Linked DNA regions of Tamandua tetradactyla. The protein of the gene in region 3 purifies or fractionates together with the protein of the main gene of each other region. This does not show direct contact. Links are inferred from orthologs where the notes say so. Each region holds a gene or a part of one and is shown on either strand. Other genes may lie near its edges. The genes, in order: EAPP, PRPF6, EFTUD2 and CDC5L.

Evidence for each region.
Region 1: the proteins of EFTUD2 (region 3) and EAPP purify together in Homo sapiens (affinity purification with mass spectrometry; 4 studies listed by BioGRID and IntAct, counting the BioPlex papers as one, with this or other methods). This does not show direct contact. The link is inferred for Tamandua tetradactyla from reciprocal best matches to the Homo sapiens genes EFTUD2 and EAPP.
Region 2: the proteins of EFTUD2 (region 3) and PRPF6 purify together in Homo sapiens (affinity purification with mass spectrometry; 6 studies listed by BioGRID and IntAct, with this or other methods). This does not show direct contact. The link is inferred for Tamandua tetradactyla from reciprocal best matches to the Homo sapiens genes EFTUD2 and PRPF6.
Region 4: the proteins of EFTUD2 (region 3) and CDC5L purify together in Homo sapiens (affinity purification with mass spectrometry; 6 studies listed by BioGRID and IntAct, with this or other methods). This does not show direct contact. The link is inferred for Tamandua tetradactyla from reciprocal best matches to the Homo sapiens genes EFTUD2 and CDC5L.

The regions. Positions count from the first base shown.
Region 1 is NC_135340.1:19,477,189-19,485,033, reverse strand, and holds the start of EAPP (E2F-associated phosphoprotein), read right to left. Parts: upstream 3,014-7,845; 5' UTR 2,898-3,013; coding exon 2,824-2,897; intron 1-2,823. UniProt on the Homo sapiens protein: May play an important role in the fine-tuning of both major E2F1 activities, the regulation of the cell-cycle and the induction of apoptosis. Promotes S-phase entry, and inhibits p14(ARP) expression.
Region 2 is NC_135327.1:61,424,813-61,431,673, forward strand, and holds the start of PRPF6 (pre-mRNA-processing factor 6), read left to right. Parts: upstream 1-3,859; 5' UTR 3,860-3,992; coding exon 3,993-4,063; intron 4,064-5,821; coding exon 5,822-5,990; intron 5,991-6,861. Other genes in the region: SAMD10 (sterile alpha motif domain-containing protein 10), read right to left, coding at 1,309-1,414. UniProt on the Homo sapiens protein: Involved in pre-mRNA splicing as component of the U4/U6-U5 tri-snRNP complex, one of the building blocks of the spliceosome.
Region 3 is NC_135332.1:22,527,138-22,534,725, forward strand, and holds the start of EFTUD2 (116 kDa U5 small nuclear ribonucleoprotein component), read left to right. Parts: upstream 1-4,570; 5' UTR 4,571-4,781; intron 4,782-7,588. Other genes in the region: Ig-like V-type domain-containing protein FAM187A, read right to left, coding at 1-579; DNAAF19 (dynein axonemal assembly factor 19), read right to left, coding at 1,591-2,043, 2,677-2,809, 3,182-3,324. UniProt on the Homo sapiens protein: Required for pre-mRNA splicing as component of the spliceosome, including pre-catalytic, catalytic and post-catalytic spliceosomal complexes. Component of the U5 snRNP and the U4/U6-U5 tri-snRNP complex, a building block of the spliceosome.
Region 4 is NC_135331.1:102,015,622-102,022,809, forward strand, and holds the start of CDC5L (cell division cycle 5-like protein), read left to right. Parts: upstream 1-4,181; 5' UTR 4,182-4,412; coding exon 4,413-4,457; intron 4,458-6,417; coding exon 6,418-6,521; intron 6,522-7,188.

The DNA.
Region 1 (7,845 bases), on a different chromosome or scaffold from region 3:
TGAAAGGGAGGGGCAAGGGGTATGGTATGTATAATTTTTTTTTCTGTTTTCATTTTATTTTTCTGTTGTTTTTTTACTTCTTTTTCTGAATTGATGCAAATGTTCTAAGAAATGATCATGATGATGAATATGTAACTATGTGATGATATTGTGAATTACTGATTATATATGCAGAACTGAATGAGCATATGTTAAGAATGTTTGTGTTTCTTTCTGGTAATATATTTTTTTAATTAATAAAAAAAAATTTATCTGGAAGGGCAGTGTGCCCCAAATAGCCAAAAATATCCTGAGAAAGAAAAATGAAGTTAGAGGTTTCCTACTGAAAACAAAATAAAATAAAATAAAGTATCAGTGGCATAGAGTTCAAATAGAGTCAAGAGGCTACTCTGGAGGTTGCTCTTACACAAGCTTCAGTTAGACCTTGCTACCTACCATAACATGCCAACCCCTAACTAGGACCATTCCAGCCAATCCTAAAGAACACCTAGGGCAATATATAAGATTCCACAAGGGTTCCAGACACTAGTGTAACTTCTCAGAAATCTACAACCTTCAGATGGGACCCTGCTGCAGATAAGTCCTGAAACCTAGCACAGCCTCTCCAGAACATCAGATAGTTCCATCTCCCTATCCCGTATTAGTGACAGACGCTTCCAAAATCAAAAATTTAGAATTGCCATAGCCCAAATACCCTAAGGAGAGGTATGGAAATTTCAAAGGTGATGGTGGAATTATATATAGAAGATAGGACTTAACAAATGAATATGAATGCTGAATCACTAAATTGATATCTCTTTTAGTCTGCAGTTATTTTAGAACAGCTAGAAGTAAAAACCTAAAATTGTGAAAGCGTAACCCACGTCAAAGTCTGAAATATGTTCTACAACTAATTGTGGTGCTGTGCTTGGAAATTTATAGTTTTGTACATATATTATTTTTCACAAAAAAAGAAGGAAAAAAGTCGACTGTGATGATAAAAAAAAGTATTAAGCCCTCTAACCTCCTATATTCTGGAGCAGCTAAAAGGAAAAATATGAAAGGATCATATGGAAGCCCATGACAAACTCTGGGATCTATCCTGTAACCACTTATTGAAGAGTGCTTTGAAAACTACTGCTTTTTTTATTTCTTTGCTTTGTATATATGTTACACTATACAAAAAAAAAAAGTTTAAAAAAATAATTACTAGGGCAGGCCATGTTTGCTCAGTGGCAGAGTTCTCGCCTGCCATACTGAAGACCAGGGTTCAATTTCTGGTGCCTGCCCATGCAAAAAAAAATTTACAAGATTGCATTTGATACATCTATCATACCACATGCAGCTTTTCTCACTTCATACAGCAACCATTTCTGCATATTTCAAAATATATTCTTTTTCCCTGTTCTTGAATTGTTTATACTCCTGTTAGACTAGCAGACTAGAAAAAATTTTAAACATAGTTTAAGGGAGGGTACCTAAAATATAGTTGTTTCATTCCACTCTTAACCTTGCTGCCAAAAATGTCCTTCCTAAAGAATTCTGATCATGTCATTATCCAACTTAGACCTTCAATTGGCCAAATCTCTGAGAATAGCATTGAAAACAGCCTTCCACAATCTGGCTCCAACTTATCTTTTCAACTTCACCTTTCACTATTATTCTTTCTCTACCCCAACTGGAGCAACTGGCAGAGATTGCAGCTAAATATTTCTCAATGCAAAGGACAGCCTCCCACAATCAAGAATTATCCAGACCAAATGTAAATGGAGTTAAAGTTCAGAAATTCTCACATGCCCTATACTGCAGTGTTTCCAAAGTGTTGGATGCAAGAGACAATTTTAAGCAGTACCAGGAACTAACAACTTACATGTTGATGGGAATGTAAAATGGTAGGCACTGTGGAAAACAGTTTGGTAGTTCTTTAAAAACTAACATGCAACTACCATACAACCCAGCAACTGCACCAACGGGCATTTATTCTAGTGAAATGAAACTTATGTTCACACAAAAAACTATTCATGGGCCTTGTGTGTGATGCTCCTTTTATCCAGGGTATGGGCAGATGAGTAAAAAAATAAGGGACACATAGATAACAGGGGAGACTGGGGGTAAAAAAAAAAATCAGATGGAAATACTAGTGGTCAATGAGAGGGAGGGGTAAGGGGTATGGGATGTATGGGTTTTTTTTCTTTTTATTCTTTTTCTGGAGTGATGTAAATGTTCTGAAAAGCTCTTTCGAGATACATATTTTGTCTTATTTTTTCTACCATACCCTAAGCCTGCAGAAGTTAAGGCTCTTGTGGCTGACCTCTGGAGTCAAGTAGTAAATAACAGGTACTCAAAGTCTGTGCAATATTCCTTATTCCCTCGTATTTCTTAATGGAAGTTTGGTCTTCAAGATGGGCATTTCATGCCCCGTGAACCTCACAACAAACTTACAACACAGTTACTGTATGTCCATTATACAGGTGAAAAACCGAGAATAAGTAACTTGCCTTAGGTCACTCCGCTAGCAAGCTGCAGAGACACGATTCGGTCTCACCGCTTTTGAAGATTTACACGTAGCCCCACCCCACCCCCCACCCCCACCCCCACCCCACCCCCACCGTGATTTCCGTAATATCGACCTGCCCCGCGGCGATATCGGCCCCGCCTCCCGGGGCTGCGCGATCCCCACCAGGAAGCTCCCTCAGTCTCCGACAGGAAACCGCTGGGCACGTCGGGCGACCGAACTCCAGGACCCAGAGTCCGCACAGGCCCAGCAGGCGCAGCAAGAGGAGGAGGAGGAGAAGGCCCGGCCGTGGTCGGAGCCTCGGGGACTGGGGCGGGACGGGGGCCCACCTGCTTAGAGCCGGCTCTTCGTCGCTGGGCTCTTCAACCGCATAGGGGTCATAATCATCCAAGAGCTTGTTCATGGTGGCCTCCACCCGCCGACACAGTCCACAGGCGGTGGGCAGAGGATGTTTACTCCGCCGTTCCCTTCCCTAAAGCGTCGCCGACTCCACTTCCGCCGCACGACCGCGTCCTTCCTGCGCACATGCGCAGACAGGCCCTGCGAGGGGAATCTGTCCCAGTGTAGCACGGTTATCCTCCGTGGGTTGTGCTTACAGGGAACTAACAATTCCCTTAATCCTCCCAAGATAGTCATTGGTACCCTCCTAAGTGGCAGTCTCTGAGGTAAACACTCGATATGTAGTGTCACATTTCACCTGCGTGAGGTGTCTTGAAGCAGAAATCTAGATGCTGAGGGATATGAACCCTGAAGCCAGTCGTCCCTAGATGCTGATACCCGATCTCTCTCTACACTCCTGGCCTCAAGCTCTTTCTTCTAGTTTGCTAACTGCCAGAATGCAACACACCAGAGGCAGATTGGCTTTGAATAAAAGGGGATTTATTTCATTAGTTCTTCAGAAGAAAGGCAGCTAACTTTCAACTGAGGTTCTTCCTTATGTGGGGGGCACATTTGATCTTGCTGGCCTTCTCTCCAGGCCTCCAGGCCAACAATTTACCCGGGATTGATTCCTTTCTGCATCTCCAAAGGCCTGGGCTGAGCTACGAGTGCTGAGATGAGGTATGCCAAGCTGCTTGGGCTGTGCTGCATTGTGCTCTCTCATTTAAGCACCAATTAATTAAGTCAAACATCATTCATTGCAGCAGGCATGCCTCCTAGCCGACTGCAGATATAATCAGCAGGTTCACCTACCATTGGCTCATGTCCACAGCAACAGAACTAGGTGCCTTCACCTGGCCAAGTTGACAGCTGAATCTAACTACCACACCCTTCTGCATTCTTTCACTGAGCAGCTTGCTGCCTCACTTTTACACTACTCACTCCTCTCTGTCTGACTTCAGCCCCAGCTGTCTACCAAAAAGTTGCTAGGCTGTCACCAGTCACCTCCATGGCCTTTTCTCAGTCCCAACCTTTTCTTAGCACTCATCGGATCCCATTCTGTACTTGAGAAGATGAGGCAGATGACAAACTCTTGATCATGAGATCACTTCCTTCTCTATGTCTGTACCAGCCTGTACTCAGTTTCCTGCCTTCTACCCAGACATTTCTCTTGCTCATGATCCCATCCAGATGACACATATCTTTGGTCCCTGTGCTCTCTTCTGATAATATCTTGGATTTTCAATTACCTGCTGCACCACTGGTAACTCAAAGTCCCATTCAAACCTGATTCAACATTTTCCACTCCATTCCAATTTCTCAGCCAAAAGTTACTTGTGACACATGATTTCTGCTCATGTCACTTCCTGCATCCTCACAACTACTATAAGCTGAAAGTCTTGAAATCGTGCTTGACTCCTTTCTCTGCCCCTTTATAGGTCCTCAATTCCCAAGTCTTGCAAATTTCTTTTCAGCCTGTCTCATCCACACCCCATTTCCCCACCCCTTACTGTGCTGGTTTGAAAGGATGTATGCCCCCTAAGAAAAGACAAGTTTTAATATAAATCCCATTTCCTAAAGGTAGAATAATCCCTATTCAATACTGTATGTTTGAAACTGTAATCAGATCATCTCCCTGAATGATGGGATTTAGTCAAGAGTGGTTGTTAAACTGGATTAAGGGACGACATGTCTCCACCCATTTGGGTGGGTCTTGATTGGTTTATTGGAGTCCTATAAAAGAGGAAATATTTTGGAGAATGAGAGATTCAGAGAGACTCAGAGAGAGCAGAGAATGCTGCAGCACCACGAAACAGAGAGTCCACCAACCAGTGACCGTTGGAGATGAAGAAGGGAGACACCTCCCGGGGAGCTTCATGAATTAGGAAGCCAGGAGAGAAAGCTAGCAGATGATGCCGTGTTCACCATGTGCCCTTCCAGCTGAGAGAGAAACCCTGACTGTGTTCGCCATGTGCCTTCTCACTTGAGAGAGAAACCCTGAACTTCATCGGCCTTCTTGAACCAAGGTATCTTTCCCTAGATGCCTTTGATTGGACATTTCTTTAGACTTGTTTTAACTGGGACATTTTCTCGGCCTTAGAACTATAAACTAGCAACTCATTAAATTCCCCTTTTAAAAGCCGTTCCGTTTCTGGTAATTGCATTCCAGCAGCTAGCAAACTAGAACACTTACCTTGACTGTTAATATAGTCTAATTGACAGCTTTGCTTTGTTCTTTTCCCCTCTACAATCCATGCTATTGTCCACTGGCAGAGTAATCCACAACACAGCTCTGCTCTGGCTGATTTCCCTCCTAAAAAGTCTTAATGTTTCACCTTTACCCGCTGAATCTGTTCACCTTAGCCTGCAGTATCCTCAGCCTTCCACTATATAGTTCAATTCATCCTGCCAAACTACCCACTACACCCCTATACATACCCAGTATGATTTTCTGATTCCAGAATATTTTATGCCTTTTCACCACTAAGTCTTTGCTAATGCTATTCCCTTGAAATACCACCCCTCCTACTTGTATTTTCAACTGTTCAAACCCTACCTGTCATCCAAGATCCACCTACAAGCACCAGATGGGTCAATAGTTGGATGGAATGACCATAAGGATACCTTCCACACTGTACCTCTTCTATGATGCCTTTTCAGATTCTCCTTCTACATGGGATCTTTTCCAGCTTTGAGCCTTTATAACATATTATACTACTCTCATGCCATGTATTTCTCTGGTTTTCAACTGTTGTTCCACCGAACTCTTTTGGGAGGTACAATATTCTCCCTTGAGTCACAGTGATGTGATGGAGCTACTTAGTGGGATGCCTTTTTTTTTTTCTGGGACTCCTGGCCCTATTTAGGGGCACATCCTTACGTTCTATAATGAATGAATCCATAAAAACGGGACCAGTTACATTCTTGCTCCCATCTAATTAAAATTAAGAGTTAGTGATTCTATATGACTGCTGTGTCATCATATTGATGTTTCTTTTAGTCTCTAGTGTCTTGGAGCAGCTAGAAAGAAAAACCTAAAATTGTGGAACTGTAACCCGTACCAAATTCTGAAATCTGTTCTGTAAAAATTTGGTACAATGTACCTTGAATTTTCTTTTTTTTTTTTTTTCACGTGGACAGGCACCGGGAATTGAACCCAGGTCTCGGGCATGGCAGGTGAGAGTTCTGCCGCTAAGGCACCGTCGCACTACCCTATACCTTGAATTTTATTGTTTTTTCTATATAGGTCATATTTCACAATAAAAAATGTTAAAAAAAAAAAGAGTTAGTGATTCTAGAGAATTGACTGGTGTTCCTAGGACTTGTAACAGGGCAAGTAAACTCAGGGGCTGAAGCTGCCATTTTGAGGTGGCTCTTTGGGGGTTATATGTGATAATGAGCAAGCAAAGAGAAGCAGGAAGATGGGACAGAGAGAAAAGCAGAGAGGTTTCCTGCAACTCCCTTGTCTAAAACAGTCCTTACCCCTAACTTCTACTCTGTAGCACATCTTCCAATCCCTTAATCTGCTTTTTTCCCCCTTTTACCTCATATTACTTATTTGTTTGCTTACTCTCTTGTCTTCTTGCTCTGCTGGTCTATTGCTACACAGAAAACCACACTGTAGATACCCAGGGCCAGAGCCCCTCCTCTGTATTGAGAATAAATCACTGAACATAGCTGCCTACATAATAACCAAGACAGAAATTAAGGCATCGACTCTCCTCGGGAGGAAGGGTGGAAAAATGTATACATGGTATCATAAACAAAGCATTAAAACTCCACTCCTTTGATCACTGTTTGTGTGAATATGTGATGATAAAAGAAAACCTTTTCATGCAATTTAGCTCTCCTGGCTTTCTTGGGTGATGTACGAATGGTGGAGGGGGTGGGCCCATTCAGAGAGTGAAGGGAGCACCCCCCAGGGAGCAGGAAGTGGAAACTCAGAAAAGGCCAGAGTGGAAGCAAGAGGAGAGATGTTCCAACTAGCTGATATTAAGTTTCCCTTTTACTTGATGGGGAGGGGGTCTTAGAAAGTGGGGAACAGATGTGCATTGATTACCATGGTCTGCTTATCTACTCTGATAAACTCTCTGGGACCCAAACTGGTTTATCCCCAGGTGTTGCCTGTCTGCAGTTCTGTAGGTGCCTCCCATTGTTCTGCCTTCTAAGAAAGACCTGCAGATCAACTGGTTTTGTCTTCTAGAAAAATCCTTCTTGGAAAGGGCTCTTCTCCCGGCAAAACTCTCCAGTGGCTACCACTGGTTTATTTTGTCAGGAGGGCTAGTAGCCTCCGTCAGTCATTTTGTTCCATTTTTTATTTTCATTTGTCTGGTGTTTCTTTTCGTGATTGCACTGAGGTTCATTGGGTAGCTGGCCCTTGGAGTGCAGTTACTCTCTCCAAGCTGGGATGTCCATTATTGTTACTTTCAGTCTCAGTTCACTAGAAAGAGCCCCACTGCTATCTTATTCTCCTTTCTTTGCTGACCTGTAAGGCTGGGAACCTGGAGCAGGCACCATTTGAGTTTTCTCCAGATGGTTCTTGTGCAGGTTTGAAAGGATGTATGTCCCCTAAAAAAGCCACATTTTAATCTAAATCCCATTTCAAAAAGCCAGAATAATCCCTATTCAATACTGTATGTTTGAAACTGTAATCAGATCATCTCCCTGGATGATGTGATTTAGTCAAGAGTGGTTGTTAAACTGGATTAGGTGACGACATGTCTCCACTCATTTCGGTGGGTCTTGATAAGTTTCTGGAGTCGTATAAAAGACGAAACATTTTGGAGAATGAAGGAGATTCGGAGAGAGCAAAGAATGCTGCAGCACCACGAAGTAGAGAGTCCACGAGCCAGCGACCTTTGGAGATAAAGAAGGAAAACTCCTCCCGGGGAGCTTCATGAAATTAGAAGCCAGGAGAGAAAGCTAGATGATGCCGTGTTCGCCATGTGCCCTTCCAGCTGAGGGAGAAGCCC
Region 2 (6,861 bases), on a different chromosome or scaffold from region 3:
TTCCCCAAACACATGTAGGGATTTCCTGCCTTGCTGCCTTCTGCATGGGCTGCCCCCTTCCCTGCCCGGCCATGGGGAGTCACCAGGCCCAGGTCAGCACTGGGCATGTGGCAGTGCAGGCAGGCGCATACTGGTTCAGCACAGGTGTGGCACACGCATCAGGCCTGGGAACCATGGCATGCCCAGACTCCCTCGTCCCCCACCAGCTGCATCACCCTTGTCAAGCATCTGCTTTACAGTCATTTCTGGGATCTTTGCTGAAATGAGATCAGGCAGGACATTCACCTTGATAGGAGCCAGAAGGTCCATGAGAAACATTGTGAAGGAAGGAAGAAAGGAAGGAGAGAGCAAAAGGGAGGGAAGGAAGAAAGAAGGGAAGGCAGGAAGGGTGGAAGGGGAAAGCTCCGTGTGGCAAAGTCAAGAGAAGTGGTGGGAGAGACAGGAAGTTGGGACCCAAGCTCTGGGTCAGCAGGGTAGGGGTCCGTGCTGAGGCCAAGGGCCAGTGCTCCTTTCTCCCCCTTTAGCCCTAGAAGGAGAGACCCTACCTCCTCTCCAAGACCAATCCCGGGTCCCCACCGCCTGGGGCCGGGCTTGGGCGTGTGCCCAGGAAGTCTCCCCACAAGCAAATCAGCATCCCACCCTTCTCTTTCCACCTCCCCCAGGTTGGGAATTACGCCCTCCACCTGTACCTAAGTGACTCTAAGTTTGAGGTGGTGAGTCAGACTCGGAGGGTGGGGTCGGTGTGGGCCCCACCCCGAGAATTGTCTTCTAGTAACGTGGGCAAAGACTTATTCTAAGGCCGCACCATTCAGGGCAGAGGCGCTGGGCCCGGACCTCCCCGCACTCTTCCAGGAAGCCAGTCGGCCGCCCCCGCGCGCACCTGCCCGGGGTTGGCCGGGCCCCGCCCATTTCCTGCTTGGCACTAGGGGAAGGGGCTTCCGTCCACAGGTCGGTGGGTCCTTCCCAGTCTAACGTCGGAATTCTAGCAGGGAATGAGGAGTAGGCAGCAATTTGGGCTGTGACCTCACACCTTCTCGGCCTCGCTGCCAGGGCCAGATAGGGTTTTCTGCGCGCGAAGAAAAAGGTGACCCCAGTGTGCTGCCAGCCTGGCGACAGGAGCCCGGCCAAGGGCGCACTGGTCCTTAAGGTCTTAAGTCGACTTGCCCTCCTCCGACCCTCCACACAGGACAAAGGCCAAGGGGACCCTGTGCGGCCAGGGCCCGCCCCCCTCAGCACCCCACCGCTCCAAGCCAGCAGGGTCCCGCCTCCCTCGTTCCACAGCCCCTAGCCGGGCGCGGCCCCGCTCACCATCCACATCCCGGCGCTCCCCGAAGCCGGCGCGCACGGCCCCGGCGCCACCCCTTGGGGGGCTCAGCTTGGACCTCAGCTCGGTGAACATGGGGCCCGCGCGCATACGCCCCTAGCCGAGCGCACCGCGGCTGGTGTGGTAGCGGGGAACGCGCGCCGCTGCCCCGCCCCACCGAGCGCCGCGCCCCCCGCGCCTGAGCGGGTCGTCGCGCCTGAGCCGCTGTGGTCAGCAGCGCCGGGTCTCCGCGGCCGGCGAGTCTGCGCGCGAGACACCTGCCCGCAGAGCCCCTGCGCCCCGCGCGCTCTGGGAGCTCGGCGGTGTGGCGGCGCGCACGCGCGCGCGCGCTCGGGTCTGCGTGTGCAAAGACTGTATGCGAGGGCACAGGGCGTCCGTCCGCACCTGGCAGGGCTCCGAAGACGCAAGGAGAACTTGCGTCTGAGGTAGGGATCGTGGGGACTACTGGGTCCCCTGTATTGGGGTGAGGGGGGCGAATCGTACCTACTTCTGGGCCATCCACCCTTAGGAGCCCAAACCAAGAGCCAGAGCAGACCCTCCTAACACCTCCCTCAAGTTACCTACCTCATTATTTTTTTTAATTAATTAAAAAAAAAATTAAATACCAAAAAAGACCAAACACAAACATTCGTAACTTTTGATCATTCCATTCTACATATATAATCAATAATTCACAATATCATCACATAGTTGCATATTCATCATCATGATCATTTCTTAGAACATTTGCATCAATTCAGAAAAAGAAATAAGATAACAGAAAAAAATTCATATATACCATACACCTTGCCTCTCCCTTTCATTGATCACTAGCATTTCAGGCAAAATTTTTTTTAACATTTGTTCCCCCTATTATTTATTTTTATTCCAAGTTTTACTCGTGTGTTGATGAGGTGGATAAAAGGAGCATCAGACACAACGTTTTCACAATCACACAGCCACATTGTGAAAGCTATAGCATTATACAATCATCTTCAAGAAACGTGGTTACCTGAACACAGCTCCACATTTTCAGGCAGTTCCCTCCAGCCTCTCCACTACATCCTTACTAACAAGGTGCTATCTATATAATGTGTAAGAATAACCTCCAGGATAACCTCTGGACTCTGTTTGGAATCTCTCAGCCACTGATACTTTGTCTCATTTCACTCTTCCCCCTTTTGGTGGAGAAGGTTTTCTCAATCCCCTGATGCTGAGTCTCAGCTCATTCCAGGATTTCTGTCCCACATTGCCAGGAAGGTCCACACCCCTGGGAGTCATGTCCCACGTAGACACTACCTCATTAATTTATTCGTTCACTCTTTTATTCACACATTCGCATTCTACAGACCTCTCCTCCAGTGGGCCCGGCATGGTCACCTCGGAGACACCAGTTTTATCTCTCCTTTGTCCCCACCATCCTGTGAATTTCAGAAGGACACTGAGCGTCTGGTGCAGCACCCTGCACATCTCAGGGACTGAGATGAGTGAGGCTCAGTTAAAGATTGCAGGGGAGAGGGAGGCTATATGAGATAGGAGGGATGTGTTTGCTCTGGGTTCCCCAGTGAAAAGTGCTGAGGTGGGCTAGGGCACAGGGAAAAGTGTGTGGTCGCCCTGCCCAGCACCAGCTGGCCTTTGCCTGCTCTGCCAGAGAGCAGATGTGGTCAAGAGTGGGAGGGGCCTCGGTGCTCCCCCAGGTATGTTCGGGAGTGGAGGATGCCTCCCCAGCCAGAATGAGCAAAGATGCACATCCACATGCAATAATGCATGCAGATTTCAGTCATACATGTCCACCGAAATATATGCACACATATGCAACCTGACCTGAGCACATCCCACCAATACACAACATTGACACAGAATTTACCCACATGCTGTGACTGCCCATGCATACATACTGACGTGTATGTGGACATGTCTGCAGGGGCCTTGATGTTCACTCGGCTTGGGGACGTGCAGTGAACAAAACAGGCAGGGCTCGGGCCCTCACCAGAATGTTCAGGGAACGGTTGAGGGCACGGGTGCCGCCCGACCGCAGCGGGAGTCCCTGGATTGACTGCCAGGGACCAGCGGCTCAACTGGGGCCGGGGAATCTGTGTACAAGAGATGCACAACAGACAGGTTTGCCCACAATCAGAACATACACACATGGGCGTGCAGCTCTGCTCAGATGACATTAGGGCCTGCCTGTCTGGAAGACCAGGGCAGCTCTGAGGGGCAGGGGGGTTAGCGGAGGCCGAATAGGATGGGACCCTGGCAGCCGGGCTGGCTTCGATGGGGAGGGGTCCTGTTAGCACAGGAAGGCCTCCTCGCGAAACGCATCTGAGAACACTCAACACTCAGAAAACAGAAATGCCACAGGCGCCATGTTAGGGTCCCGCAGGGTTTGTCCTGGGTGTTGTGGCCCTTTGACCCCTTCGAGCCGGACGGGCGCTGCCCACCTGGCCACCAGCAGACGTGGCCACCAGCATCCCAGCACTACAGCAGTGGTCTGGAGTTGCCGGAAACAGCGTTCGAGGAACTTCCGCCCAACCCCCGCGGGTGGGCGGGGCTTCGCGCGGACCGCGAACTATGCTTCCGGGTCGCGGGTGACGCGGGACGCGTCCTGTGTCCGCGGCGAAGCCTCGGCGTCAGTGCTCCTGGATTTGCGTTTGAGGCCTTGTAGTTTTCCGATCAAGCCGCCGCCGCCATGAACAAGAAGAAGAAACCGTTCTTGGGCATGCCTGCGCCTCTGGGCTATGTGCCGGGGTTGGGCCGCGGGTGAGGCTTGGGCGGGCTGCGGAGCGGACTGAGGGCCGGGCTGGGGCGGCGGGAGGTGTGTGCCTGGGGAGGGGTCCTGGGGCGGGGCCGGGGCGGCGGGAGGTGCGCTTGGGAAGGGAGAGGGAGACGGAATCGGGCTGGGTATCACTCTCCCTTTCTGACCCGGCCTTCTCCCACCTGCATCTCTGCTTTTTTGTCCACTTGGGAAGGACCGTTCTGATTGTATCCACGCTTAACCCCTGGAGACAGCAGGACTTAGGGTAGCTTGCCAAACAAGAACAATAATAAAAGTTAAAGTCTGCAGCCACACAATCTGAAAGACAGGCGGTGGTTTGGCCCGAGCCTCGTGGGAAACGCTGGGCTCGGGGTCAGCAAAGACCTAAGTAGGAATCTCCCTGCTCCTCAGCAGAGATGTAACTTTTCACTTAGAGACCCGTGTTGAGGAATATCGCTGTAAAACCACCCTGGAGTAGAAACTCATGTGTAGTGTCCTCCCCAGGCCAGGCATCACCCACTCTTCCTGCCGGTCTTGACCTAAACGTGACTGAACTTTTCCTGACTATCCAGGCTGCATGAGGCGCCTCAGTTGTAGCAGCTTCTAGTACCCTGTTTTTTCTCTCTAGTAGCGTTCACGTTGCTTGTTTAAACTCTTAGTCCCCCAGGGACAGGGATGGCATCTGCGAGGCTTGAAATCCGGTCCCAATGCTTATCACACAGAACACATACATTGTTGAATAAATGAACAGTCTTTATTTTCTTTGCTTAGTTAGTCATTTGACTAGGAAAACTAACGAGCTTCTCTCGTGGGTGTTCAGGTGAGGTGAGACATTTGCATAAATAACCTGAAGAGGAACTGATTGAGAACTCTGGGGTTCCCAAGACTAGGGAATCCTCTGTGGCAGCATTTGAGCCAGGTTCTGAAGGAGGGTTGACTTTAGAGATGTAGAAAGGTGGCAGAGGTAGAGCAGAAGCTGACATTCTGTGTGGGTTAAAAAAAAAAAAAAAGGGAGAAGCACTGAGGAAGAAAGCACAGCAGGAGGCCAGTGTGAATGGATCATGTGGTGAAGGGAAAGATGCTGGAGGTCAGCAGGGCCTTGGACATCAGTCTGAGCTTAGTTAGGCTTAGGAAAAGTGGTGGCGACTGAGATGGCCTGTTTAGAGCAGTGCTTGCATGGGTTTAAGCAGGAGAAGGCCAGAGGCAGAAAGGCTCATTTGCCTCCCAACCAGATGGGAGTCCTATGGTCGGGAGAGGAGATAGCCCATAGGTAGGATCAGTAGGACTTGGGTACAGATTGGTCGGAGGTGAGGAAGGAGGGAGGCGAAGGTGATGCTCTGGTGCCTGCCTTGGCACTGCCATCACCACTTGAAACAGCCCAGAGCAGAGCAAGACAGACAGAGGACTTGGTTTGGGCCAAGTTGGTGTGAGGGACTCATTGGATGTCAAGGTAGAGATGATCAGTAGGTTGTTGGAAATGCAAGGCTGGAACTTAGGAGAAAGGATGACTTGATTCTCTGGGCATCTTGTGTGGAAGAGAAAGTAGGGAAGACTTGGAGCCTTGGCATCCCCAATAAACCCCCTTGGAAGGTTTATTGCCCAAAGACAATAGCCACCAATGTCTTTTGGAGGTTTCTCACAGATGTTAGAAAAAAAGGTGCTGTAGGTTATCAAGGAGGGTGGTTGGGAGAACACGGGAACAGGGTAACCCGGATCATGTGCAGGTGGGCCTCTTGGATCCCCTGAGCAGCTTTCTCCCGCAGTGCCACTGGCTTCACCACCCGGTCAGACATTGGGCCCGCCCGGGACGCAAATGACCCAGTAGATGACCGCCATGCACCGCCAGGCAAGAGGACCGTTGGTGACCAGATGAAGAAAAACCAGGCTGCAGATGATGATGACGAAGATCTGAACGACACCAACTACGATGAGGTGACTGACCCCATGTGGTGACCCTATGAGGTGACCTCCTGTGTCGTGGACTTTCCTTGGGCTCCCTGCCAGTCCCTAGAAGGGCTGACCAGTTTTCTTACCCAGCATGCTCAAGGAAGGCAGGTACATTTCATATTTCAGCTGTTCATGGGATGCCATTGGCAGAGTGTGAGGAGAGCAGGGAAAAACACTGAAATGTGCTCTTTTGCTGTCTCTTCAGAGGAAATATACTTGCAAATATTAGAACCATTGCCTTGGTGTTTTGTCTTGGCTGGTATTTAGTGATGAAAGCTTAGAGTGTTATTAGTGATAACATTTGTTTTCTTTTACTTTAGTTCTCACCCTCTTAGTGAGTTGGGTAACTGGTCTTTGGTGAGTTGACATTTCCTTCAGGTGTATGCTAACAAATGGCATCTTTCCTAAGTGACAGGAAGATTAAAAAAAAAATTCAGAAAAAATTTCAGAGTTCCCTTCACCAGGCTTCCCTTTATGTTAACGTCTTGCATAACCTTAGTGCAATTATTGAAACCAGAAAATTAAACACTGATACAGTACTATTAACCAATTTATAGGTCATGTAAATTTGCCGGTTTTTCCACTGATGTCCTTTTTCTGGCCCAGGACCTTGTCCAGGACCTGTTATGTTTAGTCATCATGTTGTCTTAGTCTCCTCAGTTGGGACAGCTCCTCAGTCTAACATGACCTTGACAATTTTGAAAAGCACTGATCAGTTATTTTGTAGCTTATCTCTTAATTTTGGTTTGTATGAAGAAAGAGATTATTCAGTGAGCATTTTCCACCTAGAGATGTTTTCTCTTACTGGTGGGGTTTGTATGGGAGGAAATGCTTACCTCATTAGCACAATTTTTGG
Region 3 (7,588 bases):
GAGGCCGATGCGCCACCGCTCGCCTCGCACCCCACAGCGGTCACAGGGCGTCCACTCCCAGAAGGTGGTGAAGACATGGAGGCTCCCATGCTGCTCATCTTCAAAGGGCTCCTGGCCCTTGTCCTTAAAGGTGGCCACCATTCCCTCACTGCTCTGGATGTCCACATCGTAGGCGTAAAAGTAGTCCCCTTTGCGGGTTCCGCAGAAGTACAGGCCTGAGTCCTCGGGCTGGGCCCGGAAAACCAACAAGCTGAACATGCGGATGCTGAAGCGGACCAGCATGTCGCTGCCCACCCGCACCTGAGCCACCTCGGTCAGCACCCGCCCGTCGAAGTCTGTCAGCACTTTGGTGTGGCTGCTACCTAGGTGCTTTTGGTAGTACCAGACTACAGCCGGCACCTCCTCAGGCTTGCAGTGACAGGGAAGCTCAAAGCTCATGTCAGCCAGGTAGGCTGCATTGTCAAACATCAAAAAAGCCGGGCAGGGGGTCTTCTGAAAAATGTTCTCCTTCTCCACGATTTCAAAGGCCTGAAGACTTCCCCAGACCCACAGGAGCACGGTGGTGTGGGCCAGGCTCATGCCTGCAGGAGAGCAGGTTCAGAGGGGGAGGTGCAAAACCAAGGCACTAAAGGCCCTGTGGCATCTAAAAATCCCTGCTGAGAGCAGGGGCAGATGGGAGCAAAGGATTACTCAGCGAGGAAAAAAAAACTACACTCTGTGGAGGAAGTGGCCAAAGCCAAGGCAATTTATTCCCAGCTGATATACAAAATGGCCTTCAAATGTTCCAGACCTGGTCTCATGAGGAAACCATTCTAGAACCTGGCCTTCACTCGCCTTTCTAGAACTCTGGCACTCATCCAAGAATGGGTCAGGGGAAACCAATGAAAAGCAAGGGCCCAGTGGCTGGGATGAAAAAATTTCTGCCTCACTCTAGGCTCTACCCTGCCCTGCCTACTTGGTGGAAGGGTCTTCCTTTCTGTCAGTCTGAGAGATGAAGGAAATCCTCATGCCACCACACATGGCCATCTGAAGAAGTCTGGGGGGCTGGCCAGACCTGAGCTCATAGCTTGGGACTTTCCCAGGACCAACCTGCAAAGAAGCCCAGTCCCTGGGGAGAAATGCTACACCCTAAATGAGGTAGCTTTTGATCATTTGTGGTTGTAATAGCCACTCATTGGTTTGGGGTTATAAATATTCTTATTAAGAGCGGTGGAGATCACTTATTTACTATGAAGGATTAAGGATTTACTTTCTCTTTTTTTTGAGTGAAGAGCATTATTGATGTAGCCATCTCTCAGAGCCAGGGGAAGCTGGGAGAGGGGATAAAGGCTTAGATAGGTTCTAAAGGTGGGAAGTAAAACTGCTTTCAAACTCTTGGGCCATTGACTACCCTTTGGATCCAGAGTTCCAAACATGGAGCCACTAGGGGTTAGAGAAGTGGGAAAGATCCGATTCCTGCTCTTGCTCAGAAAATTCCAAGTTGAGAAGGGCATTAGGGGTGAGTTTCTCATTGCAGTCCTGCAGAGCCCCCAAGACAACAACAAAATGCCTTGAGTGGTCTCTGGGGGCCTCTGAGAGCAGATGGTCCTATCAGTCCATCTGGTACAGTCCCAGAAGCTCCTGCAGGAGCCTCTCTTCATCTTGGGGCCCTTCAGGTTGCTCCTCCAGACCCTGCTTCTCCTGGCTGAGCCTTTCTTTCATGGGACTTGGGGCACCCATGGCCTGAAGCTTCTGAAACAAGCTTCTGCAGCTCTCCTTCTCTGCATGGCTCAGCAAGCTCAGGTTTAAGGTGAAGCGTCCAGTACTGGCCAGACTGCGCAAGATACCCAGTACTGCCACCCTGTCAATTGGCCTCATGTGATCAGCCAGGGCCACCAACAACTCCCCTAGAAGTCCAAACCCTACATCTGTCTGGAAGAGGTGACCCAGCTTGGGACCCCCAAGCTGTAGCAGGACCTGGTAGCGCTCTGGTCCACTCTGCAAGTATCGTCGCCAATTGCGGTAGAACTCTGCTGAGGTCTCAGGCTGGAGGAGTGTTTTCTCCTGGATTACAAAGGAAAGAAAGAGAGTCCAGAGCTTGTCCAGCTGCTCTGGGGCAGTGAGAGGGAGGGAAATTGCTACTCTGATAGTGCTATCTGAGTACTGGTTGTGGTCCCTATGGGCCTCATTTTCAAATGCGGGAGCTGGGACAGGAAGGGAGAGCCCTCAGTTGTATAAGATTTTCCCACTGATGAATGGGGACATGATCCCAATCTAAGAGAGTAAGTCATGGTTTACTGTGACCAGGGTGTAGGGGATGATTGGAAATCTCAAGAAGAAGAATGAATTCGAGGTGAGTATCAAGGATCTGACAGACTAGGTCTCCCTCTCAACACTGCCAAAAGATCATTATAGTATTTACAACCTGGAGGCAGAGAAACTCCAGCCTTATCTGGGAATGAAAGTCAAAGGACTGACAGAAGGGGACCTGCGGAGCCCAAATTTCTGACTTGACCTGCCGAACCCAACTTGGCCCCACCATCCTCTGGTTGCTTTCCTTTCTGGGATTAGAGGCAGAAATCTGTCTCTGTTGTCCTTACACTAAAAATAAGGAATAGGTATGTGTTGTAAGAAGACAGGATTGCATGTTCAGGGCAGAGAATTTTGCTGGGCTGAAGAGGCTGGGCCCACCCCTACCTGTGAGATTTCAGTAGCCTCATCCTGGGAGGTATGTCCCGGAGTTGTGTGACAGTTCCAGGACACAATCGCTTTTCCTCTCATCTTGTCTTTTCGCTCCAGAGGCTTCAGATGGGAGGCAAGGACAATACCCCTGTGGGCAAAGGACAGAGATGGAGGAATGGATGTAATGCTCTGTGAATGGAAGGTAGCTGGGCTTGGCTCACTACAGGCTGAATCTGTTGACAAACCAACATAACAATAATGATAATAGTAACAGCAACAATAGCCAAAGGTTATTGAATACTTCTTGTGTGTCTACTGTGCAGCAACTCATTTAATCGATACAAGGGCTACTCTCTTTGAAAATTGAGGCCCAGAGAGGTTAAGTAATGTGCACAAGATCACACATCTAGTAAAAGGTGAGGCCAGGAATGAAGCCCAGAACTGTCTGACTCTAGAGTCCCTGTTCTTTTCCACTATTGTTACCATAAGAGAGGCCTGAGAAAAATGACAGTGAGTCAACCTGAATTCCTCATACGTAGTCACCCTCTGTTCCACTGCCCTTAACTTGGCAGCATTCTCCCGCTTGTACTTCTCATCAGCAGCAAGTGCAGCCTGCAGCTCTTTCTCCAAAGCCTTGAAGTTGATGACATCATTCCTTTCCATGGCTTGTACCTGGGAAGGCAAAGAAAATGGATATTAGCAGAGGGTCAATATAAGGGAATGCTGGGGCCTCTGGATTCTTTGCCATCCCACAAAATGATCCAAAAGCACTCTGGGAATCATTAACTTACCTTGTATTTATGTGTGTGTGTGTGTGTTGAGGGGCAGTAATACAAAAATCTAGTTTTCTGCTTTACAAGGAGGGGAACTGAATAGCAGAGTAGGGACTTGCTAAAGACTTGTCACTAAAAATAGAACAAAGTTCCAACTTTCAGTTTGGAGCCCTATTAATTTTGTTCTCTGCCTCTAAAACTATCTGAATGTTGAGTGCTTTGTCTGAGGAGGCATTGGATTTCAGAATTCAGCCCCTCCAGTCTTCCATATGGGTAAATTTTTGGGATGGACCACTTCAACTAAAAAAAGAACTATTAACTACTCTTGAGCCTGGGGTAAGATTTCACCTTTCATGAAATACTTTAAATAGGGAGGGGCATTTTTCACCCAAACTAGATGCCATGACTGAGCAGGAAATCAACACATGGCAGAGAAGTGGCTCAATGATCCCCGCCTCTGGCCAGTCAAGGAGGAGCACAGGTTTCTATGTTCTCAGATGAACTCTTTAATTCTGCCACTCTGATTCTGCAGCCTCCACGTACCTTTGGCGGATCGATTCTTTCTACAGGGAAGTCATCTATATGGATTTCTACCGGGAAGTCATCTATATGGATTCTAGTTTTGGTTTCAACATTTACTTGCTTGAGATCTCTCTGAACCTCCTGGTGAATTTTGTGGCGGAGTTATCAACTGTCCTGAGGCAGACAAGCAGGAGGTCCTCATCCAACCCCACGGCTACTACCCCCATCCCCAGCATGGGTAAGAGAAACGACAGGAAAGGACCAGAGTGAGCTAGAAACTCAACTCAGGCATCTTGACTCCTTCCCAATCTATCTATCTATTGAACAGATAGAACAACTAACCCTTCCACTTTTAACCCCCGACTCAGATCCCGGAACTTTATCCCGCAGTTCAGGCCCTAGACGCCTTGCTTTCTTTGGGGTTACCCTGATAAATTGGGACAAAAGAGCAACTCAGTGCAGATCGCGCCCAGCAGCTGTGGTTGCCTAGCAACTGCTCCACCAGCCTGCCCACGTGATCCGCCCGAAGGCCCCCTTTCGGGGTGGTCCATAGGCGCCTGCTCTAATTCACGCCTACTCAGGACTTACTCTCTGTGGGACAGTCCACGCTTTGTTGTGGGGACCCACGACTCTTCCTCGCAGGTTTTTGTCTCCGCGGCCGGCGCTATTCCGAGCCAGTCCTCAGGCGGAGGGTTGTCCTCCCGGCAGAAACGCGACTAAGGCGTCTATGGGGTCCTTCCCAACGCGGGCTCAGGTGTCGCGCGGCGTGGGACGGAAGCGCGGCGGCCGGCGGCTGGGTTAGGACTCTTGGCTAGCAGGCGGCAGGTGAGTTGATGAGGGTCAGTGGTATGGAAACGTTGCTCCGGGTGGGATGGGAAATTAAAGAACGTCAGATCTGGAGTAGGCATTATGTGCTGTCTGTTCTTTTACTTTACATGTGGGGAAATTGAGGCCTAGAGCAGGAAAGGAACATAGGGACCACTCCAGAAAGGCCTTTTCCCCACCCCGCTCAGATCCCTGAATTCCCTCGATATAGTCCATCCATAAAATTCCGTTCCTGGCAGGGGTCGTGCTCTAACTGCTTAGCCTTCTCACATACTCCCACTTCTGGACCGCCTTCACCTCTTCTTTACCAATCTGCTTTCCTCTTTATTTGATTTTTTTTTTTTGAGAATATGCTTGATAGCGGGAAGCTGCAGTGAAGACCGGCGCCAAAAGTCACTAACTAGCTTTGTGCAACTGAGGAAGTCACCTAGCTTCTCTGTGCCTTGGTGGAGTCATTCATCAGTAAATATTTATTGAGGGTCTCTTTTGTGCCGGCACTGTGATAAAGGAGAAAACAAAGTCTTTGCTTAGAGTGTAGTAGAGTCAGTGAACGATAAACAGACGAATAGATGTGAAAGTCAGCTTGTGATATATATTAAGGAAATAATAAAACAGTTTAAGTGAGGGGCAGAGAGTGGATATGTGGGGGACTTTTTCAGAGTGACAAGGGAAGATTTCTCAGAGAAGGTGACATTTTGATAAAGACCTAAAGGAAGTGAAGGGAAAAGGCATAAATATCCAACAGAAGAGCGTTCCAGACAGACGGAATAACAAATACAGAGGGCATAGCAAATACAGAGGATCTGAGGCTTGTTCTGTAAATAGCCTTGTATAAGAATCTCTTGTCACTTCATGAGATCTTGGGAGGATGACTTGAGCACAGATGTGACAGCTCTTTGGAAGTAAAAAAGAGTACGTGAATACAAATGCTTTCCTAATATTTACATTTAATTAATGGTTCACAGGACTCAATTCTCTATTTCATCTATGGTCAGCATTGAGGAGGTAGTATTGAGGGAGATGGAAGGATTAACCTAATGCAAGAAATATCAGTATCTCAAAGTTGGGCATTCTATATAGTTAACATTTATCCCACCCCTACTTATGCAAGGTGCTGTCTAGGGCATTTATAGGTAGACACAAGGAGTATAGGGTCCCCATATTCAAGAATGTCCAGAAATAATGATAACTGTGCTGAATTCTGTGTGCAAACTGTTTTGTTTAATCCTCACAGCACTACACAGTGGGAATTATTCACTCCATTTTCCAGTTGAGAAAGCAGGTTTGGAGAGGTGAAGTAACTTATCTGAAGTCACTCAGTTTTTAAGTGACAAAGTCAAGATTTGAGTCTAGATCTTCCAATTCCAGAGCCCTGTTAAAAATGCTCTTCTGTGTTGTCTATTACTTGTAAATTTTATGAAAAAAGACTTGAACAGACACTTCTCAGAAGAGGAAATACAAATGGCCAAAAGGCACATGAAGAGATGCTCAACGTCCCTGGCCATTAGAGAAATGCAAATCAAAACCACAATGAGATATCATCTCACACCCACCAGAATGGCCATTATCAACAAAACAGAAAATGACAAGTGCTGGAGAGGATGTGGAGAAAGTTTAGAGTTCTCAGTGAGACTAGTTAGCAGAATTAAATGCTGATAAAGGTGCAAAGTGCTGTAGCAGTGTAGGAAAGTGAAAAATTGACTCACTATAAGGAGGGCATTTGAACTGTCACTTTGAATAGAATTTCAGTAATTGACGTGGAAAAAAGCCACAAAATACTTATTAATAACAAATGGAAAACTAGTCATTTTACGATAGAAAAACCTGACCGGCACCACCTTAGTCAGTTAACATCACCTCTAAAGGGGCCATTTGAAATCATGTGCCACTTGACAAAATGTACGGAGGAGAACATGGTATTACTTCTGTGGTGTTCCTGCCAAAGATTCATAAACTAAATCTAGTTACGAGAAATCATCAACAAACCCAAATTAAGGGACATTTTACAAAATCACTGGCCAGTAATCCTATCAGTGTCATGATCATGAAGGTCAAGGAAAGACTGAGGAACTTGTTCCAGCTTGAAATAATAGTGGCATCGCAACTAAATTCAACATGTGATCCTGGATCAGATCCATTGCTGTGCAGGATGTTATTGGAAATATGTGAAACTTAAATGGAGTCCTATGAATTAAATAGTAGTAATGTGCCAAAACTAATTTTTTTTTGTTTTTTATTTTGGTGGTTGTAGTGTGGTTATACAGGAGAATATCCTTGTTTGTAGGAATCATACACTAAAGCAAGGGGGTTAGCAAACTTTTTTGGTTAATGATCAGAAAGTACTTATTTTAGGCTTTGTGGATCATATAGTCTCAGTTGCAACTATTCAACTCTGTTGTTGTAGTGTAAAGCAGCCTAAGACAATATAAATGACTGCATGTGACTGTGTTAATTTATTTATAGACATAAATTTTGAATTTCCTCTCATTGATTTTCATGTACCACACACTATTCTTTTAATTTTGTCAATCATTTAAATAAGTAAAAAGCTATCAACAGATGAATGGATAAAGTGTGGTATATATATGATAGAATATTGCTCAATTATAAAAAGGAATGAAGTTCTGATATTTGGTACAACATGGATAAACCTTGAATACATTGTGTTGGGTGAAATAAGCCAGACACAAAAGGATAAATACTGTATGATTTCACTTATGTGAACTAACTAGAATATGGAAATTCATAGAGACAAAGCTGATTATAAGTTCTGGAATAGAAGTGGGAAATGGGGAGTTAATGCTTAA
Region 4 (7,188 bases), on a different chromosome or scaffold from region 3:
GGTGACCGACTATACAATCTGGATTGTTCTGATGGTGGCTGCTCCTTAAGACTGCCCCACCAGAGATCCTAAAGTGGACATGGCCTCTTGGTGAGGACCCCAGGCTTGGCGGGTGACACTGGGGTGCCTGGTGGGGGAGACTGGCCAATTCAGGCCATACTAGAGGACAGCCCCTGGTGATTGTGGCTATGGGAAACTGATTTCAGACAGTCTGAGACTGTCAGAAGGTGTGTTTTCTGAATCCTGAAGCAGGACAAGTGGTTTGTACATCCAAAAGTGCCTTAAGGCTCATTTTATTCATTTATTTTTATTTTTTTATTGTGGTAACATATATATAACATGAAATTTCCCATATTCATCACTTTCAAGTAAACAAGTTGTATTTATTGCCCACAATGTTGTGCTATTATCACTACCATCTATTACCAAAAACTTTTCCATCTTCTCAAACAGAAACTTTGAACCCCTTAAATATTAACTTTCCATTTCCCCCTTCTTCCTGCCCTTGATAACCTGTAATCTACTTTCTGCCTCTATGAATTTGCATATTCTAAATATTTCATATAAGTGAAATCATACATCTGTCTTTTTGTGTTTGGCTTAGTTCACTCAACATGGTATCTTCAAGAGTCATCCATATTGTAGCATGTAGCAGTACTTTGCTCCTTTTTATGGCTGAGTAATATTCCACTGCATTCCATATTTTGTTTATTCACTCAACTGCTGATGGACACTTACTTGGGTTCCTCCTACTTTTTGGCTATTGTGAGCAATGCTGCTATGAATATTGGCATACAGATATCTGTCCAAATCCCTGCTTTCAATTCTTTTGGATACACACCTAGAAGTAATTCTATGTTTAACTTCCTGAGGAACTGTAAAATTGTTTTCCATAGCTACTGTACCATTTTATATTCCCACCAACAGTGTACAAGGGTTCATATTTCTCTGCATCCTTGTCAGTACTTATTATTTTCTTTTTTCAAAATAATAGTTCTGGTGGGTGTAAGGTTGTAGCTTTTTTTTTTTTCTTAAACAACAGGAATTTATTGTATTGATGTTTTGGAGGCTAGAAGTCTGAAATCAAGGTATCAGTGGACCATGCTTTCTCAGATGTCTGTAGTTTTCTGGTGGTGGCTTGTGTGTCTCTGTACATGGTGATCTGTCTTCTTTGGTTTCCCATTGAGGCTTCTACTTTCATGCCAAAATTTCCTTTGCTTCTGAAGGATTCCAGTGTTATAGGGTTAAGGCCAACCTGATTTAATTGGCTTCATCTTAATAGAATCTTTGAAGATCCTATTCATAGATGACTTGAAAAGGCCTTGTAGGGGACATAACTCAATTCTAAAGAGGCTGAATACCATGTGATATGTGATCTTTTTTTTTTTTTGATTATCTTTTAGTGGATATGTCCTAGCCTGAGTATCCTGAAAACAGAACTCAAAGATGAACTTTCTATTTGAGGATAATTTTAGATTTACAGAAAAGTTATAATGGAGAGAACTTAATATGCCATTTAAGTTATTTGTAGAGATGAAGATAAAAAGAAATAGAATCTAAGTTTGGGGGGAGAATTTGGGATTCAAAAGTGGGTTGGAAACAGTATATGTTTGGGTCTTGGCAGCAGCCAAAATGGACTATTTTGCGGCCAATAAAGTTGTCAGTTGGGGCTCTAAAGTTGAGACAGATGCTAAATTGGAATGAGGATACTGAATAATCTGTATAAACTAAGGAGATAGGGGAAACACTCTCCAGGGGTCTGTGTGGCGTGTCCATATTTCTTTTGGAAGGACTGATCTTGACTCCTTCCTCAGGTAACTGCTGTTGTTGACCTTCTTGTTTTTGCTGAATATACTTGTATTTTGCTTTCATGAGTTTTGCTTTATGGTTCTTGAACCAAACTAGCAGCATTGTTGGATGTATACCCATTTTAAAGGCCATTTCTTTCTGAAGACCAGGGTTTGGGTATGGGTTCTTATTGAATAAGATTGTCAAATCTTCTAGTTGTTTTTCAGTAAACCGTTCATTTCCTTTGTGGATGTCTCTTGTTTTTCAGTAAACCATTCATTTCCTTTGTGGATGTCTCTGGTGCTTGCCTGGAATGGCGCACCTTCTGATGTGACAGGAACACCCTTACGAAGATCCTCTGAGTCTGTCATTTTTTGCTCTTGGTCTGTTCAGGTATTCAGATCTAGTGACAAGAATAGATCCCATAACTCACTGTGGTTTGATTTGCATTTCCCTATCGGCTAAATGATGTTGAGCATCTTTTCATTTGCTTATTGGCCATTTGCAGATTTTCTTTGGAGAAATGTATAAGTCTCAAGGGACATATGACAGGGCTGCTCCATCTGGATGCACAGGTTGTACAGGGTATACCCTGAGGAGGGTGCAATTCACATCCCATATATGGAATTAAATTTTCTTGTAGTAGAGGGTCCTATTCTCAAAACATCAGTATTCTATGAAGTTTTCCAGTTGGTGGCAGTAAAGTGTCTTGAGGAAGGGGTACATTTTTCTAGTTGGCATAAAGGTGACATATGGGCTAGAGGTGGCCCTGAGTTGAAGGGGAAGACATTATTATGGACTCTTCGGATATTAGATCTGAAAGAGCTGAGAAAGTTCTGGCCCAACTTTGGATTTGTTTGGACTCTTGGTTTCAAATAACAGATACCCAACTCCAACAGGCTAAAGCCAACAGGGAACTAACCAAAAGGACTTAAAAAAAAAAAAAAGTACAGTTGGACCTCAGGAAATATTGGATGGAGGGACTCTGATAAAGTAAGGACCTGCCCCTTTCTTCACTTTCCTTTCTTCCCACTTTGGTGCACCTGCAGACAGACTTTCTTCTCTTCTTGGCACAAACATGGTGGTGGAAAACTGGATGTCACATGTTAGAGGTTTAGCAGCCAGCAGAGAAAAGGACCACTTCTACGTCCCAAAGTCAAAATTTCTGGAGAGGAGACTTGATGGCTCAGCTTTGATCAGATCAGTCAAATGGCCAGTGGGTGTATGTGAGCGAGTGAGTGAGTGCACTGTAAAAACAGCAACTGAATGGACAGTACGGGCAAGATGGGCAGGAGGTACTGGGCATACATCTTACAGGAAAGCCTTGCAAACAGCAGTCCACAGATAGGAAATGGTATGTCTCCAGTCACACAGGCAGTTGGAAGCAAAGACAGGAGTAGACCCAGATCTTATCAAGTCTGTGTGCTATTCATAATCTTATGCTGGCTTCTTTTCAAATAAAATAGTGACTTTCTTGATAGAATTTCCCATTTCAAGGTTAAAAACAGCAACAAAAATCTAATCGGAAAATTCTGTGCAGCTCTTCTAGAAGAGGCAAATGAAGAAGTGAAGAAATAGAAGGAGAAAGACATTAAATATTTTCATAACCTCCTGGGCGAATGGCAATGAAATGTTCAGAAATGGTGAAGACTGAGTAACTGGGAGGTGGGAGAGCAGAGAGTTTGCCGATCCCTACCTCATTGTGTATTAGGTATGGTTTGATTAATCTGCTCCCAAACTTTGAGGTAGGTATGGTTAGCACCACTTTTCATATAAGAATACTGATATTCAGCAAGGTTATTTACCCCAGTGAATGAGGGAGAGAGTAAGGATTTCAACCCAACCTGAGTCTGTATAATATTAGTGCCTATCATTGCTAACAATCCACACTGGCTGAAGAGTGATAAATGAAAAACTGACATGATATTTCTGTGGATTTCTGGGGCAACCACTGATCACTTGGGGGTGGTGGGGCTGCAATTGCTTTCCTTTTAATAATAGCTGTCATTTTTCGGTCACATATTATGTATCAGAACTGTGCTAGGCGTATGTACTTTGTTTCATTTATTCCTTGGCACAAGGTCGGTTTCATTATTCTCTCTATTTCACAGGTTAGGAAACTGAGGCTTAAATAAACTGTTGCCTTTCCCTTAATATTCTGTTAATGAATTCCTACTAACGAATTGCCGAATAAAGTGCCAAAGTAACAATTTAGCAAGGCTCGCTACCTACCGACTGGGCTGAAACTCTACCCGGATACGCCCCGCCGCGCCCCTGGGTGACGTTCTGGCCAATCCCATCGCTACGTTCCCGGACACTCTCCGCCTCCGGCTTCTCGCAAGATCTAATTTGTCAGGGACAGTAGTGAGTGCGGAGCGCTTTGCCCAGAGTCGTTTGATGGGTTTCTGTCAGTCTTCCTTGACTAAAGCGTGTTTTTCTTTTCTGCCACCCGAGATCTCGCGAGATTTGCTATTCCGCTTAGTTCCTCTTGCGCCTGCGCAGATCTCTTCAAAGCAGACGGTCGCGCTTGCAGGAAGTGGCGGCACTGGGTCCCGTGGCCGCAGCACCGTTAGTACTTCTTTGAAGCTTATCTCGGCCGTTTGCCGAGACTCTTCGCCGCGAAGATGCCTCGAATTATGATCAAGGGGGGAGTGTGGAGAAATACCGAGGTGAGTCTCCTTTTCCCGCCGTCCGCTGCCCTCCGCCCGATCCGGCCGCTTGTGCGCACGCGCGCAGAGGTCAGGGCGGCGAGGAGGATTCCTTGCGGGGTGTGTTTGGGGGGCAGCGTGTCGGCTGACCCTCTGGGCAGTCACCGTGTGTCCCTCCCAGTGTTATCTACGTGCCGCAAGGATGGGGACTGTGATTTAATCAGCGGGCTACCCAGCCTCGAGCTCACTGCCAGGCACTTGTTAGGCCTTCAGTGAACATTTGTGAATTGAGGACGCGCCCCTCGCGTCCTGGAGGAACTCGCAGTTTGGAGGAGGGATGGGACATCAGCTAGAGTTGGTTTTCTGGGGTATCCTCCTCCCTCAGTCTGCTCACCCACGCCTCGCTTTGATATTCAGAAGGAGGCAAAATTAAAGAAGTGTTGTGGCCAAGAACTTTGTGCCTTCATTGACTTCCTTGCAGAGGTGTAGCAGCATGAATGCCAGATTGGAAGAGTCCGTTATGCCCACATCCCTCTTGGTTGTCTTTTATCACGTATAACCCATCTGTCCTCCCCACAGAGCTCAAGGGTGTCACTTCCTTATCTTCCTGACACTCCCGGTGGTCTCATGGCATTTCTTGCACACGTTTGTTATAGCTTGCTTTGTCCTGTTGTAAACATCGCATCCTTCTGTGTGATGCTGAGTGAGTTCTTAACCTCTCAGAGCCTCTGTATTCTCATTGGTCTAAATGGGGATGACATTACTTTTTTTGATGACTAAATGAGTTAATACATCTGGAACGCTTAACAGAGTGGCACACAGTAGCCTTTCAATAAGTGCCACTTCTTTCTTTTGAAACCTTGCAGGAGGACAGGACCAGGTTTGGTATCCCTAGGACCTAGGGCAGTAAGCATTATGAAGTAGGTTATTTGGCAGATGTTTGCTGAATGAATCTAATAGAGTAGATAACTGCTATATGTATTTAGTTGTCCTTGTGTTTAAGTACAGCAAAGTAACAAATAAAGGCAGTGAAAAGCCTGCCTCACAGTTTGTACTGAGGGAACCAGATTGTTTAAATTGGAGAAGAGATGACTTCTGGGGGAGAAACAGATGTACAAAATCAGACAGCATGATCCCTATGCAGTGGTCAAACCCTGCAGTCTTTTTCATTTACCTCATGATTTTGGAGGTGGGGGGAGGGAGTGGATGGTCAAGCACAGTGTCTAATGTGGGGGAAAAAAAGCGTGAAAGTAAAATGCCCCAAGTGCATTCATCCATAGTGCCATCATCCTTGGTGTCTGTGGCTTAGTCTGTCAAACTGCCCTGGGTTTGGTGAATCCGTATGGGAATAGGTACCCTGGTGAAACAGTGTCTGGTGACTGGTGATCTGAGTGGTGGGGTGGGGGGAGAAATGCTTAATTTTTAGGTTATACCTGAGATGTGGATTCTTGGGTCTATATGGGGGTTAAGGGGCTAGAAAGGAAGTGCCATGGGTGAGCTGAATGCAGAAAGCCTGAATGTGGGGAAGGTATTCACCAGAGTTTCCTTGCTCTTGAGCACCGGCATGTGTCCCCTTTAATGTTCTTTCTCCAAGTATACAAGACCTGACATGAGGTAGGTGTTTATGAAATGTTTTTTTTTAAGTGAATGAGTGGATGAGCTATACCCATTGAAGAGAATGATAGTCACACATCAGAGCACATTTTTTGTTAATCTTTACCAAGTAGGGTTTCTCATGTGGGTTTGTTTCCACTCTCAATTTATGGGCAGGAGGAAAGGTAGGATATCCTTCTGAGGGATTGTCATCTTAATTTCTTGCTTGCTGATTCTGAGGTTTTTAAACTTTTTTTAAAATTTACCATTTGTGTGTGTCTTTCTCTTTTTCTCTAGTTCTTCAGATACTCAAAGTTAATGTCAATTTTGTCTTTTCTCCCTTGGAGTTTGGTCATTGAATATACTCTTTCTTTGACAATTTTTTTAGGATGAAATTTTAAAAGCAGCGGTTATGAAATATGGGAAAAACCAGTGGTCTAGGATTGCATCGCTACTACATAGAAAATCAGCAAAGCAGTGCAAAGCTAGATGGTATGTACCAATTAATGAGTGGAAAGTTATATACCAACTGTGTGCCAGTTAATGAGTGAAAAGTTAATCACGATGAGGAAAAATGTTATTCTTTGAACTTTACTAAAGGTGGTATAACAGAAAGTATGATGTAGGAGTTGAGAATTTGAATTTTAGACTCACTGTCACATGCTTCCTTTGTGATCTTAGGTAAGTCGTTTTTCTAACCCTCTGACCTTACCCCATTTTCTTACAATTGGTAATAATAGTTGGCCCTAACTCACGGAGCTATAAGGCTCAAATGAGTTAATATGCTTGAGAGGGTTTTGAAAAGTCTAAGATAAATCTACTTTTAAGTTCAAATGGGCCTCAGCTTATAAAATGGATTGCGTTCCAAAAGTTCATTAATTGGTTGTTTAGAAAATATTTTCCCAAAGAAATAAATTATGACAGTTAATTTTCTAGGCTAGCTTAGATAGAGTAGGTGAGTTTCCTTATAATACAGTTGAAATATTAAATATTTGCCACCCCCAAACCATAAGATCAGCCAGTATTACACCTGTGGTTTTTTGCCCCTTTTAAATCACAGGGTAGTAGACACATTAAGCTATTTACGTGTGTTTTTGGCATAAGTGGTCTGGTGCCACAGTTGACCGATGTGGTGCTAGGATGATATTTTGGATTGTTC